3 linked regions of the Cricetulus griseus genome follow. The protein of the gene in region 2 purifies or fractionates together with the protein of the main gene of each other region. This does not show direct contact. Links are inferred from orthologs where the notes say so. Each region holds a gene or a part of one and is shown on either strand. Other genes may lie near its edges.

The links.
Region 1: the proteins of Gna13 (region 2) and Arhgef11 purify together in Homo sapiens (affinity purification with western blotting; 3 studies listed by BioGRID). This does not show direct contact. The link is inferred for Cricetulus griseus from reciprocal best matches to the Homo sapiens genes GNA13 and ARHGEF11.
Region 3: the proteins of Gna13 (region 2) and Arhgef1 purify together in Homo sapiens (affinity purification with western blotting; 5 studies listed by BioGRID and IntAct, with this or other methods). This does not show direct contact. The link is inferred for Cricetulus griseus from reciprocal best matches to the Homo sapiens genes GNA13 and ARHGEF1.

What each region holds. Positions count from the first base shown.
Region 1 is NW_023276806.1:66,851,996-66,856,279, reverse strand, and holds the start of Arhgef11 (rho guanine nucleotide exchange factor 11), read left to right. Parts: upstream 1-1,484; 5' UTR 1,485-2,686; coding exon 2,687-2,718; intron 2,719-4,284. UniProt on the Homo sapiens protein: May play a role in the regulation of RhoA GTPase by guanine nucleotide-binding alpha-12 (GNA12) and alpha-13 (GNA13). Acts as guanine nucleotide exchange factor (GEF) for RhoA GTPase and may act as GTPase-activating protein (GAP) for GNA12 and GNA13.
Region 2 is NC_048600.1:122,211,482-122,215,537, forward strand, and holds the start of Gna13 (guanine nucleotide-binding protein subunit alpha-13), read left to right. Parts: upstream 1-1,256; coding exon 1,257-1,539; intron 1,540-3,857; coding exon 3,858-4,056. UniProt on the Homo sapiens protein: Guanine nucleotide-binding proteins (G proteins) are involved as modulators or transducers in various transmembrane signaling systems.
Region 3 is NC_048602.1:9,645,615-9,649,746, reverse strand, and holds the start of Arhgef1 (rho guanine nucleotide exchange factor 1), read right to left. Parts: upstream 2,801-4,132; 5' UTR 2,668-2,800; intron 883-2,667; exon of another isoform or gene 743-882; intron 1-742. UniProt on the Homo sapiens protein: Seems to play a role in the regulation of RhoA GTPase by guanine nucleotide-binding alpha-12 (GNA12) and alpha-13 (GNA13) subunits. Acts as a GTPase-activating protein (GAP) for GNA12 and GNA13, and as guanine nucleotide exchange factor (GEF) for RhoA GTPase.

The DNA.
Region 1 (4,284 bases), on a different chromosome or scaffold from region 2:
CTTACATTTTAAAGAGTTTTCCTCCAAGATGGAAGGTTTTAACTTGAGAGGAAACTGCTACATAACCCCTAGAACTCACATAAAAAGGCTGAGTTTTGGAGGTGTGAACTTGTAATCACAATGCTAAGAAGGGTGAAAGTGTAGAGCTTATTCACCAGCATTCTTGGCCTACTCAGCAAGTCAAGGCTGTTGAGAGACTCTTGTCTTCAAAAGGGGGTGAGGTTGTTTGGCACTTGAGAAAGAATGCTACCCATTGCTGTCCTCTGGTCTCCACAAGCACACCTGTGCAAGAGCACATCAGCTGTTACGATCTAGAAGGTAAGCGCTCAGAAAGTTCAAGAAGTTTCTGTAACAAACAAGAGTCACAATGGCCCTCCCCAAGGTTATAGGAAGCAATAACAACTCCAACTGGCCCAGTGGTGATCGGTAGTCCACTGTCCTCACCCGTGCTGGAGTGCGTTTTTTTCGTGTGCAGCTGTCTTTAAGCTGCTCATTTTCCTAGAAGTAACGCCAATAAATCCACAGGCTCACTAGGATAGGCTTTGGCGAAATTGTTGGTGCCCTATCTGATGTGAACAGATGCCTATTTGTATATCCTCAGGAAGTCACATAACATACACGCATGCACCTGCACACACACACACACAAAACTATAGCAAAGTTCATTCATCAACCTGTGCAAGAAAAAAAAAAAAAAAACATAGGGGAATCTGATTTTAGTAGGTCCTAAATAGATGCTTAATCAGTTTCTTTTCTCCGTTGCTAACACAGGAGGCAAGCTTGGAACTTGAACGGGCTCAGGTAGGCCAAGACCAAGGCAGGCAGAAGGGAAAGTAGTACATGGAAATACACCAGCGCCTGCACAGCTTCCCCAGGCAAGAAGACAATTCCTCCTCAGTCTAAATGCTTCTTTTTACTTCAGTCTTGGGACCTTCTGACTAGCGACGGTTACTTGAAGAGACTGAGAAACCGTGATTTCACGCAGGGGGTGTGCGTCATGAAAATAACATTGTCCTGGAAAGGCTTTTTCACTGAATGAAAAAGCAACGCCATACAAGATACCCAAGCTACTCTGAGAGAAACCGAGAGGGCAGAGTCGGTGGGCATTCGGAGCGGGGAGGGCACAGTTTGGGGGCGCCTTGTAACGTGGAAGGAGACTCGACAAATGAGTGAAAACGAGCCGAGAAGGACGGGGCAGCAGCGAGAGAGCCCACAGAGGCGCGGCCGGCGGACACTGCAGAAACAAAGGTCGAACCTCCGGGACAGCAACACCGGGAGCAGCTAGGCCGCAGCGCACGGGCCGGGGGCGCGCGGGGCCGCCAGAGGTTGGGCGGCGCCAAGGAGGAGCCATCGGCTAGCCTGGGCGAGCAGAGTCCGCTGACGGGGGCGGGGTTGGGCGGGGCGGGGCGGGCGGAGCGGCGGCGGCGGCGGCGGGCCTGGCCTGAGCGAGCGAGCGAGCGCGCGCGGGGGCGGGGCCGGAAGCGCAGCGGCCGCGACGCGGACGCCGGGAGCGGCCGAGCGGGGAGGCTGTGGCTGGCTGGCTGGCTGGCGGCGGACCGGCACGGAGGCCGAGGCCGCGGCCCGGGCTCTCCGCGCCGCTGTGGAGGGCGCCCTGGCCCTAGCCGGGCCGCAACAATAGTGGGAGCGGGTCGCCGGGCGCGATCGGTCGGCGAGGGGAAGCGGGACCGTCGCTCCAGGGCGCTGCGGCGAGAGGGACTTTCGGAGCCTGGACGTGCAGGAGCACACAGCGCTGACTGAGGAAATTGTCTCTGAAAAAGGCCGACCCGAGGCTGGGTCTGAGCACTGGACTGGGCTAGGTGGAGGAACCTGCAGGTCGAAACGGAAAAGAGCGTTTAATATTTCCTGGGGTTTTGGCCAATGCTACCGTTTTGAAGGTAAAAAGCATTGCGCTTCAGGTGTTTTGTGATTTTTTTTTTCTTTTTGTGTGTGTATGTCTGCACAATTGGCTCATTTCAGAATTCCAAGCCTTTAATGTAAAAGATCGGCGTTTTGTTTTGATTTTTGAGAAATTCACAAATTTTGCTTCCCAGGGCCCCACTGGACTCCGTGCTGTGTACACACTGCTGTATGGTTTTATTTATTTTAACTGTGCAAATCATCTGGAAGGTTTTTTTTTTTTCCCCGAGTGCCATTTCGGATTTGTTCAGCCTTTTTTGTTTTGTTTTGTTTTCCTTCCCTGGCATTTTAAGCATTTGGAAAACAGAGATTTTTCAACCTTTGGAGCTTAAGGTTCCCTTGTCAACAGAAGGACAGCTGGGAAAACTGGATTGAGAGGATGATTTTTATCTGTCTGCAGTTAAGACTGATATTTTGAAGTCGCATTCTTTCTGTGGTTTTTTAGCCCATAGTACTAACCTTAAAGACACTTGTGGTTGACGTTTTGATTTCTAAGAAGGTTTCTTTTTCTTTATTTTTTTTTTCCATTTTCTTTTTTAAGACAAGGGAAGGGGAGGCTAAAGAGTCAAGAGAGGAGGAGACATGTTAAGTGGCGGGCGTACACTGGTTCTGCAGTTACCAGGGTCCTGACAACTGGAAGAAAAAGGATTCAGTCTTCAACTTGGGAGGCCCTCCTCTCACCTTCCTTAAAAACCTTAAGGGATTCCGGCCTGATCAAGACATCCAAAGAAGCTACAAGATTCCGGAACTGTGAAGACACCGAGAAACCATGAGCATAAGATTACCCCATAGTATAGACAGGTAAGTTTGCACATACTTTGGGATTTTCCCAACACTTATTAAAAAGGCTGGGAGTTGATGTTGTGTTTTGACTGAACTGAGCTGTGGGCTAGGTAAGGTAGTCTGTGGGTACTGTCAGTATATGTTTATAGTCCCTCTGTGTGTGTGTCCATGTCCAAAACATATCTCCAAATTCTGTGTCGTTTATAGCCAATAAGCAGTGATATGGAGAGGAGGGGAAGATGCTTTCAGTGCTTTTGCCTTACACCAGGTGTAAGGCTGGCTCTGGGTCCTCAACTTGCCAGCCTAGGGATTCCAAGCCTGGACCAAGCCTGGTCATGGGAACCCACAGGGGTGAATGGGGACTAGCTTAAGATTTTTGCGGAGGGTAGGGGGGTGACTGGCAGGGTTGTGGGCCTCCATCAGGCTGACTGTTATGGAATGGCGGGATGAAGTGGTAGGGTGGTTCCCATTTAAAACGAGGAAGATGCTTTTGGCTTGAAATGTTGGGACAGAAATACCCTGTGTCCGTACCAGAACTTTCACCAGTGGTTGATAGAGCTCCAAATGGGGAGGCCACATTCAATTTCTTCCTCTTCAGGTTTAGCATTTACAGTGAGAACTACCAACAGGCTGATGCTTGAGGTTTAATTTGCCAAGCTGTTCTTAATAAGCTTGACTCTGCAAAACAGGCCTTCCCTCTGCTTGAAGCCGGAAGGAGTTGTTTGGCTCTTAGGCCCTTGAAATCAGCTGGAGGCACATGATGCCCCTTCCCCCATGAGCTTGAGCTGCCTTCCCTGTTATTGGCAACATTGCAGCTGGATTGTTCTGTCCTCCAAAGGGTTGGCACAACTTTGGTAGGTATCTGTCTTGTCGTTTCTTCCCCTTCTCCTCTTCAACTCTTCTGCCTTAAAAATCCTCTAAGGGGGCGTGTTTTGTGGATATTCCATACATCCTAACTGGATAGGTAGGTAAGTGGTTGGATGATAACAGTCAAATGAAAAAAATAGTATTTATGAGGAAGGGAGGAAAATCAGTAAGTCAGCAGTTGTTCTTTCTGGGTCAGTTATCCCTTGGTTAAACATGCTAATAGTAATTTCATTTTGATTGTGGAATGTGGCATATAATAATCTCCTCAATACTACCACTGTATTGCCTCACAGTCCCGGTTAAATCTGTTTAGTAGTACTTGTGAGGGAAAGTGTCTTGCAGTGGGGAAGGGGAGGCAACCACAAAGGCAATGTGGCTACTTGGCATCTCCCTTCCCTTTCCGTTGTGGTCTTCTGTAATTTGCCCCTGGGAAAGGATAACTGAAGCTGTCGGGGCAAGGAGGTAAAGGGTGCTTGCCTGTCTGCCCTTAGTGTCCTTTTGGAGTAGGGGGATTAAGATTTGGGTGTCACAAATTTCTATTAAATTGGGGATGTGAGCATATGGAAACCGGGTATTGAGGGATGAGAAGGCAGTGAGGGCTTTTGGGTTAACATGATATGATCCTGTAGGAGCTTGCATGACTTCACAGATTCAGATCCCAGGGTCCTAAGTGCTTTCTTTAGAACTCTTCTTATTTGAACCTAATAATGTTTCTGT
Region 2 (4,056 bases):
TGATCTGCTGTTATGACAGGAAAAAAAAAAAGTCTCTTGCCAGTCATATCCTCTGTAATCTGGCAGGAAACCTAAAATGTCCTGCCGCAGTCCTATGCTGTAGGCTTATCTGCTTCCTTGGGAAGAACGCGCATCACAGTGTCCGGTTTAGGGGGATTTTCACCATGACCTCACCCTCTCCACCATTCACTGACCTCAGCAGGCATTACCCAAGTCACAAATGAAGCTCGGGTGGGATCCACATTAGCGAGCCAGCCACCAGAGACCTTGCTAGCACATCTCACATGAACAGCATCAACTCTAACTCTTCTCAAACCAGGGCAGGTATCAATAATGCCCTGAACTGCTCCAGAGGGGTGTTGATCAATAAGACATTTGACATCTAGATATCCTTCTAGACTCAGGATGGTAGAATGGCAAGGGAGTCGCTGCTAATTAAATGCGTGGGCTTGGATTAAAGCGCTTGCCTGTAATCCCAGCAGTGGAGAGGTAGGCTGAGGCAGGAGGATTGCCACAAATTTAAGCCAGCTTTTGCTGTACGATGAAATCCTATCTCAAGAGTTAAAATAAGGGGGGGGTGGTGGAGTGGGGGGACAAAATGTGATGAAGGAAGGAGGAGGCACCCAGGAACCTTCCAGGCTTGCGGTGGTCTGTGCGGTAATGTCCCAGCCAATGATCTCAAAATAGGAGGTGACAGCAGGCGGCGGGCGAGTCACTAGGGGAAAGGGCAGTGAGAACTGCAGAGAGAAGGAGTCCCTAAGAGAGTGGCATCGGGATGGGCTCACTCGCCTCGGGGCTCCGGGAAGCGACGGCACTAAAGGGAAACAGAAAGTCCGGCCCGGCAGGCGCGCGCCCAGCCCGGCCCGCGTGACTCGCGGGGGGCTCCGCCTCTCACCGCGCGCGCTCCCGGCCGCAGCCTCCTCGGCCAGCGAGCGGTGGGGGGGCGGAGCGGGACTCGCGCCGGCCTCCCCAGCGCGGCGTGCCTGCGTGCGCGTGCCCGTCGGGCGACGGGGGCGTGCACGCCCGGAGGGCCACCGCCCCTCCCTGGGCCCGCCCTCCCTCCCACCCCTCCCACCCTCCCCCGGCCGGCGCGGCCCGCCCTGGCGAGTCAGTCCTCGGGTTCCCTCCCTCCCCGGGCGCGCTCGGGCCGCCGCTGCGCTCCCCGCCCTCCAGCCGCCTTGCCGGAGCCAGCCGCTGCCGGAGGAGGAGGTGGAGGAGCCGCAGGGGCCCGCCGAGGCGGCGGCGGCGGCGGCAAGATGGCGGACTTCCTGCCGTCGCGCTCCGTGCTGTCCGTGTGCTTCCCGGGCTGCGTGTTGACGAACGGCGAGGCCGAGCAGCAGCGCAAGTCCAAGGAGATCGACAAATGCCTGTCGCGGGAGAAGACCTACGTGAAGCGGCTGGTGAAGATCCTGCTGCTGGGTGCGGGCGAGAGCGGCAAGTCCACCTTCCTGAAGCAGATGCGGATCATCCACGGCCAGGACTTCGACCAGCGCGCGCGCGAGGAGTTCCGCCCCACCATCTACAGCAACGTGATCAAAGGTGCGGGGGCGCGGCGGGGCTCGGGGACCCGGGGACCCCTGGGGAGCCGGGCCGGGCACCGCCCTCACCCGCCGGTCCCAAGTCTGAGGACACTGGATCGGACCAGATCGGACGGGCGAGCCCGCGAGCGAGCGAGCGAGCGGGTGGGCGCGCCTCGGGCGCCGTCCCGTGCGCCGCTGTGCCCTGGCCCCTCAGATCCGGGGCGCCCCGCTGTCCCCCCGTGCTACCCCAGTGAGGGTCACGGTCGGCCCCGCACCCCTCGGCTGGCCTCGCCCCCTCCGAGAGGGAAGTGTGGCGAGCAGGGTGACTCCGGGCAGCAGGGCGACTGGTGTCCTCCCAGCACACCAGACAAGCCCACCCCATCAGCAGCCCCAGGTCCCACACTCTCAACCCCTCCCTCTTCTCCCCGCCACGGGTGGGTGGGTGGGTGACCCTAGAAACCGGCGCAGATACCCTTCCAGCTCTGGGCTTCCTAGGCCACCTCTTGAGTTAAGCAAGTTCTGGAACCGCCGCAATGAGGAAACTTTTTTTTTTTTTTTTTTTTTTTTTGCCCTGAGACTCTTGTCAAGGGCATAGAGTGACAGCCTCTGGGGCCTTTTGGGGCAAGAGGTATGAAACTCAAGGGTGTCGAGTTTACTGAACTAGCATCAGGAGAGCCTATTAAAAAAAAAAAAAAAAAAAAAAAAAAAAAAAAAAAAAAACCTAGCACAAGTGGTTTTATCGCCCCAGTGCTACAGGATGTTTGTACTCAACAGTTCAACATGTTGCTTTCTTTCTCTTTTGCTTAATAACTCGGAGCAGGAGGGGGAATAAAACGGGCAACATTTCTAATACTTAAATGAATGTATGTTTAACTACGAAGACTCTTTGGCTTAAAAGTCATAAGAGACCTACAGAAGTTAGTGAATATGTGTGGTGTTGGATCATGGGCGTTACAAATTCTGTTTGACAATATTTTAAAATTAAAATATTGTTCCTCAGTGAAAAACACACGACATCTTTATTTCCTAGCATTCAAGGAAGTTTTGGAGGTGGCTCTTGTCATTTGAAATATCACCTTTCTTAAAAATTTTTCTTTAGTGTTATGTATCTTCTACATAAAAGACATTGTCAAAACTGAGGCACAGAGCCCTATGTTTTGAGTGATTAAGGAGTCACCCTGTTTTATCTGGGACTTCGAAGCAAACTACGATCGTAGATCTTTTCAGTTGTTATGTGGCTTTATTTTTTTTTAAGTGGGTTTTTTGTTGTTGTTCAGGAAGTACATGAAGCAAACCCCTTCATGTCTCTCCTCCCGCCTCTTCAGGATTTCAAATGGGGAAAAACTAGAGAGGGAGGCATTGTAGGGCAATGAGGGGAGAAGGCTAGGCCAAGAGCTCACAGTCCACGGCTCTTTCTTAGCCTGTACCTCTGCAGTTAAACTGTAAAGAGTGCTTGTATTTAGTCTGCCCTAATGTTTAGCACAAAACTAATTAAGGTCTCTTCTAAGGCTGTAGTGTACCTTGCTAGCCCATAATTGAAGGTACCTTTGTATCCTGATGCAGTTGAACTTAAAGAATTATGTTAATGAATAGACTAAAGTATTCACTGTAAGGTAAACACCTGCTTTTTTGATATATACTGGGCCTAAGAATTACTTTGAGCATTATTGTGTGATCAAGCCTAAGTCTAACTAGGCATCTTATTTTCTTGGGGTGATCAGAAAGTTGAAAGCAAAACAGTTTTTTCATGTATCCCAAGAAAGGACTTCCTAATAGATTGAGACAGAAGTAACAGTTTGGTGCTAAGAGTATTGAGTTTGAATTGACCTAAGTAAGTGGAGACCTCTGTTTGTGTATCATTTTGCAGTTGGTTTGGCTTTTAGGTAACTGTAAAGCCAGCAGGTGACTGTACTGATTTGAAACTGAGTCTGAGAGTGTCCTGGAAGAAAGTATTGGTAGGAGCTGAAGGACTCTGACTGAACACAGTGACTCAGGGCTGGGCAGCATTATTTATTTTTTCCATTTCTGGTTTTGACCTCCTTCCACTTCAGACATGATTTTATGGATGACAGCATATTAAAATCCTTCCAAGAGAGATTTTTGTTATCGATATTTACTTTCCAAGGCTTCTACTTTTAAGACAATGAACAATTGTTTTTTAAACCTCTGAGAAGATAAAGGTTCTGTTTTGATTCTGGTCTCCATTTAGGGAGTGGGGGTTCTGTAATAGCTAAAAAAAATTAAGGAACCAATACTGAATAACACTGGGGTGAAAGGTTGTGATGGTATCTTAATGACTCTTCCTCACATTTTTTTTTTTTTCCTTTTTAAACAAAGGTATGAGGGTGCTGGTAGATGCCCGAGAGAAGCTTCATATTCCCTGGGGAGATAACAAAAACCAGCTCCATGGTGACAAGTTGATGGCATTTGATACCCGTGCCCCCATGGCTGCCCAGGGGATGGTGGAGACTCGAGTTTTTTTGCAGTATCTTCCTGCTATAAAAGCCTTGTGGGATGACAGTGGTATACAGAATGC
Region 3 (4,132 bases), on a different chromosome or scaffold from region 2:
TGCTGCGACCTCAGCGGTCACCCGGGATGGACCCAGCAGCTCCAGAAGTCTGTGCTTGGACCCGGAGCGTTGGACAATTAGGATATAGGTGAAGCTGGCAAAAGACACTCTTACAGGCAACGGTCAAAGTCTACTTCTTTGTCCGGCAGAGGGAGCACTTTGCACTTGAGGCTGTGGCAGGGAGGAGGGGGGGTTGTCAGGCAGGTTTAGGTTTATGCAGTGGAGGAGGAGGAGGAGGTCCTGGAGGGTGGCTGCCTGGGTTGCAAGGGCCAGGGTACCCAAGCTTTCAGAATGGAGTATTCGGGTATTCAAGAACCTCTAGAAGCCTTGAGAAACCTAAGAGAGGCTCTTGGAATGTGTATGACCCTGCCAGATTCTATTTGATAACAGTGGGCCTCAAGAACCCAGCTAGGTGAAGATGACTGGAAAGAGAAAGCAAACTGACGGGCTTGTGGGACCTCCACGGGGGTGTGTGCTGGGTGGGTTCTGTGGGGCCCTGGTTTGACCTGGGAGAAGCCCATGTTTATTAAAAAAAAAAAAAAAAAAACAAAAACCGGGTTTGCGTGAAAGGCTTCCTGAAACCTGGAAGGTATGTAAGGTCTTACAAGCGATGTAACGTGGCGGGTCTTGAGGAGCCCTAAATCTTACGAGGAACCGATCTACACGGGCGCTCAGTACCACAGCGACTGTGGCAGCACGGGTGTCAGGGAAGACGTGCAGGAGGGAAGGCTGCGGATCTCACCTGTCGGATGGGATGGATGAGAAGCCGCTGCAGCCTCCGGGACCGAAGCCTCCGCGCCCGAGCTCGGGGTTCCCCCACCCGCGCCGCAGAGTCGCTCTAGCCGAGCCAGAGGCCGCCTTGGCGGCCAGCTCCACTCCTCCCTCTGGCTGCTCTAGCCCGCCTCCTGCCACTCTCCGGCCTCGGCAACTCTACTCCTCCCGCCGGCCGCTCGCTCTCGCTCCACGGCGCCACGCTGGCCCGACGGGGCCGCTCTGGCCCGCGCTGGAGGGCCGGCGTTTCCGTATCTCGACTGCTCCTGTCAGTCTCCCGGGTCCCGCCCGCCCCTTGCGGGAGTGGTGGCTGCTTCCAGCGCCCGCCCGCCCCGCTCGCGCTCAGTCTCAGATCTCCAAGTCGCTCGGGTCTGAAGTGCCCACTCATGGGGTCTTCCCACCTCGTCCACCTTCCCCAACTCCCCAACCTGTTAACCGACGCCGTCTGTCGCCCCTTCAGCTCCCCCCCGTCCCCGCCCCGCTGCAATCGGAAAGAACAAAACAAAACAAATCCAAACCCACCCGTGCGCTTGAAGTGTTCTCTCTCCCCCTGACAGACGAACCAGCGAAAAGCAATGACTTCTCTCTCTAGGCCTCAGTCTCCCTGTCTGTCCCCGGTCTCTCCCCTACACCCAGATATCTCCCAGAGTATAATTAATAACCCAGGGAGGGGGGAACTAGAAAAAGCTTCCTAGGACGTTTTCAACGCTCCGCAACTCTCGGCTCCATACTGTTTATTTTAGGACCTCTAACCTAGTATCCATGGGCCCTACGACGAGGGGGTCCCTCCCCCTGGGCCTCAGTTTCCCCAGGGGTAAATGGGGGTCATCGTTCTGAGCTGCGCTGAACGGTGGGCAGTTTGGATCCCAACCTAGCTTATCTCTACCTACTGTGCACTCTCTGTCTGTCTCTCTGTGTGTGTCTGTCTCTCTCTTTGTCTCTGTCTCTCTCTGTTTCTCGTTTCTCTTTGTCTCTCCCTCTGTCTGTCTTTCTGTCTCTGTCTGTGTCTCTTTCTGTCTGTCTCTTTGTCTCTCCCTCTTTGTCTCTCTCTGTCTGTGTCTCCCTCTCTTTGTCTGTCTCTCTGTGTCTCCCTCTTTCTCTCTGTCTGTCTGTGTATCTCTGTCTCTCCCTCTTTGTCTCTCTATCTCTGTCTCTCTGTCTCTGTCTCTCCCTCTCTTTGTCTCTCTGTCTCTCCCTCTTTCTCTGTCTCTGTCTCTCTCTGTGTCTGTCTCTCTTTCTCTCTGTCTCTCCCTCTCTTTGTCTCTCTGTGTATCCCTCTTTCTCTCTCTCTGTCTCTGTCTGTCTGTCTGTGTATCTCTGTCTCTCCCTCTTTGTCTCTCTGTCTCTGTCTCTCTCTGTGTCTGTCTCTCTTGTCTGTGTCTCTCTCTCTGTCTCTCTGTGTCTCCCTTTCTCTCTCTCTGTCTCTGTCTGTGTATCTGTCTCTCCCTCTTTATCTCTCTATCTCTGTCTCTGTGTCTGTCTCTCTTGTCTGTGTCTGTCTGTCTGTCTGTCTGTCTCTCTCTCTGTCTCTCCCTCTTTCTCTCTGTCCCCCCACCTCCTCGTCTCTCATTCTCGTTTTTGTTTTTGTTTCCTTTTGAGGCAGGGTCACGCTAGGTTGACCAGGCTGGCCTCGAACTCATGGCAATCCTCCTGCCTCTGCTTCCCAGGTTCTGGGTTGACAGGCGTGCGCGCCAGCCACCTCGCGGGGGTTTCCTCTGGGCTGTCTTTGACAGATGAGAAAACTCAGGTCCCAGGAAGGGAGGCTGCAGGCTCACTGCCCACCCCACCCCCGGCCCGGAGGCCCTCGGCGGCCGCCGGGTCCCCTCCCTGCTCCTCCCCACTTCCCCCTGCGGCCGAGGGGGAGGAGGAGGGCGGGCGGGGCCAGGGACCATGTACCTGGTGTCCGCGCGCGCGGGGAGGTGACCGGCGGGGCGCCCGAGGTCGGGCTCGGCGATCCCGGGCCCGGCGTCCCGGCTCCGGCTTCCTGGCTCCAGCGGGCAGGAAGTCGGGGCGTTTTTCCGGAGCCCCCGCCCGCCGCCCCTCCCCGCTTCCTGCCGGCGCCCCGTGCCCGCCCGGCACCTCGGCTTCCTTCCCCTTCTCGCTCGCTCGCTCGCTCGCTCGCCGGCTCGCCGGCTCGCCCGCTCGCCCGCGCGCCTCCTCCTCCTTTCCCCGCGGGTGCGGCCCCACCCCGCCCCGCCCGGCTCCCCTTCGCCTTTGTCCTGCTTTATGGCCTCCTGCCCCGCTGCTGCCCAGCTCCTGCCCTGGCCCTTCCTCTTTTCTTTTCTTAGTTAAGGTAAGGGCTCACTAGGTGGCCCTGGCCGGCCTCGAACTCCCAGAGACCCGCCTGCCTCTGCCTCCGCATCGCAGAGGTTAAAGTGAAAGGTGTGCGCCTCCCTGTCTAAGCTCCGCGCCTCCGCGCGCCCGGGCGGGCGAGCTTCACCGTCTGCGAGCCCCAGGCTCTCCATCCATCCCTTTCCCCCAAAGCTGTCTTCCTCCCTGGCTTCTGCTGCTTCAAACCGCAGCAGCCGGTCCCCTGCGCCTTTTATCACTCTTTTCTTGCCGCTGGGTCGCTCTCATCCTCTGCGACCTCAACTGTTGTTGCCCCTCAGGCTCGGGCTCACTGGCCAGCCAATTCCTGTCTGCTTCTTGGCGGGGTGGGGGGAGCCCGGAATGACTGTCTAGTCCCAGATCTCAGAAGTGCCCTTCTCTCTCTCTCTATCCCTGTCTCTGGGGACTCCCCGGGTCCCCCCCTTTGCCTCACTCCTGTCTTTAACCGCCTTCTTGTGTCTGCTCTTCCCGACTGAGTGCCCCTGGGTCACACCGCAGTGCCACTCTCCACCATCTTCGGGTTCTTGACATGAACTCCCCAAATCTGCCTATGCAAGTGAACCCATGAGAGAAATTAAGTCCCACCCCGAGGAAATAATACCTCGTGTTTTCAGAGCTTAAATATGCCTAATAGTTTGCTGACAACCCTGCTGGTTCCCCCTTGCTTAGGGCCGTGGAGAGGGTGAGGCCCTATAAAAGACCTAAACCAGCCCTTCAATTGGGGGTGGGGACTTCCCCAAGAGACTTCCTGTTTCTTGGTTGGGTGGGGGGAGCCCGGAGTGACTGTCTAGTCCCAGATCTCAGAAGTGGGCAGGTGAGAACTTGGGTCCAGAACCCTAGGTCTGAGGGAGGAAGGGGACGAGGACGGGCTTCCGGCTCCTGGTTCCCTGGCAGTGTTGAGGGGCGGTCCTCATGAGATCCATGACTCCTGCCAAGGGCTGCTTTGGGAAGGATTTATTAGCACTTAAGTGGCCATGACAGATCTGGGAGGAGGGGGTGACACTAACGAGGCTGCTGTAATCAGCTCCCCTAG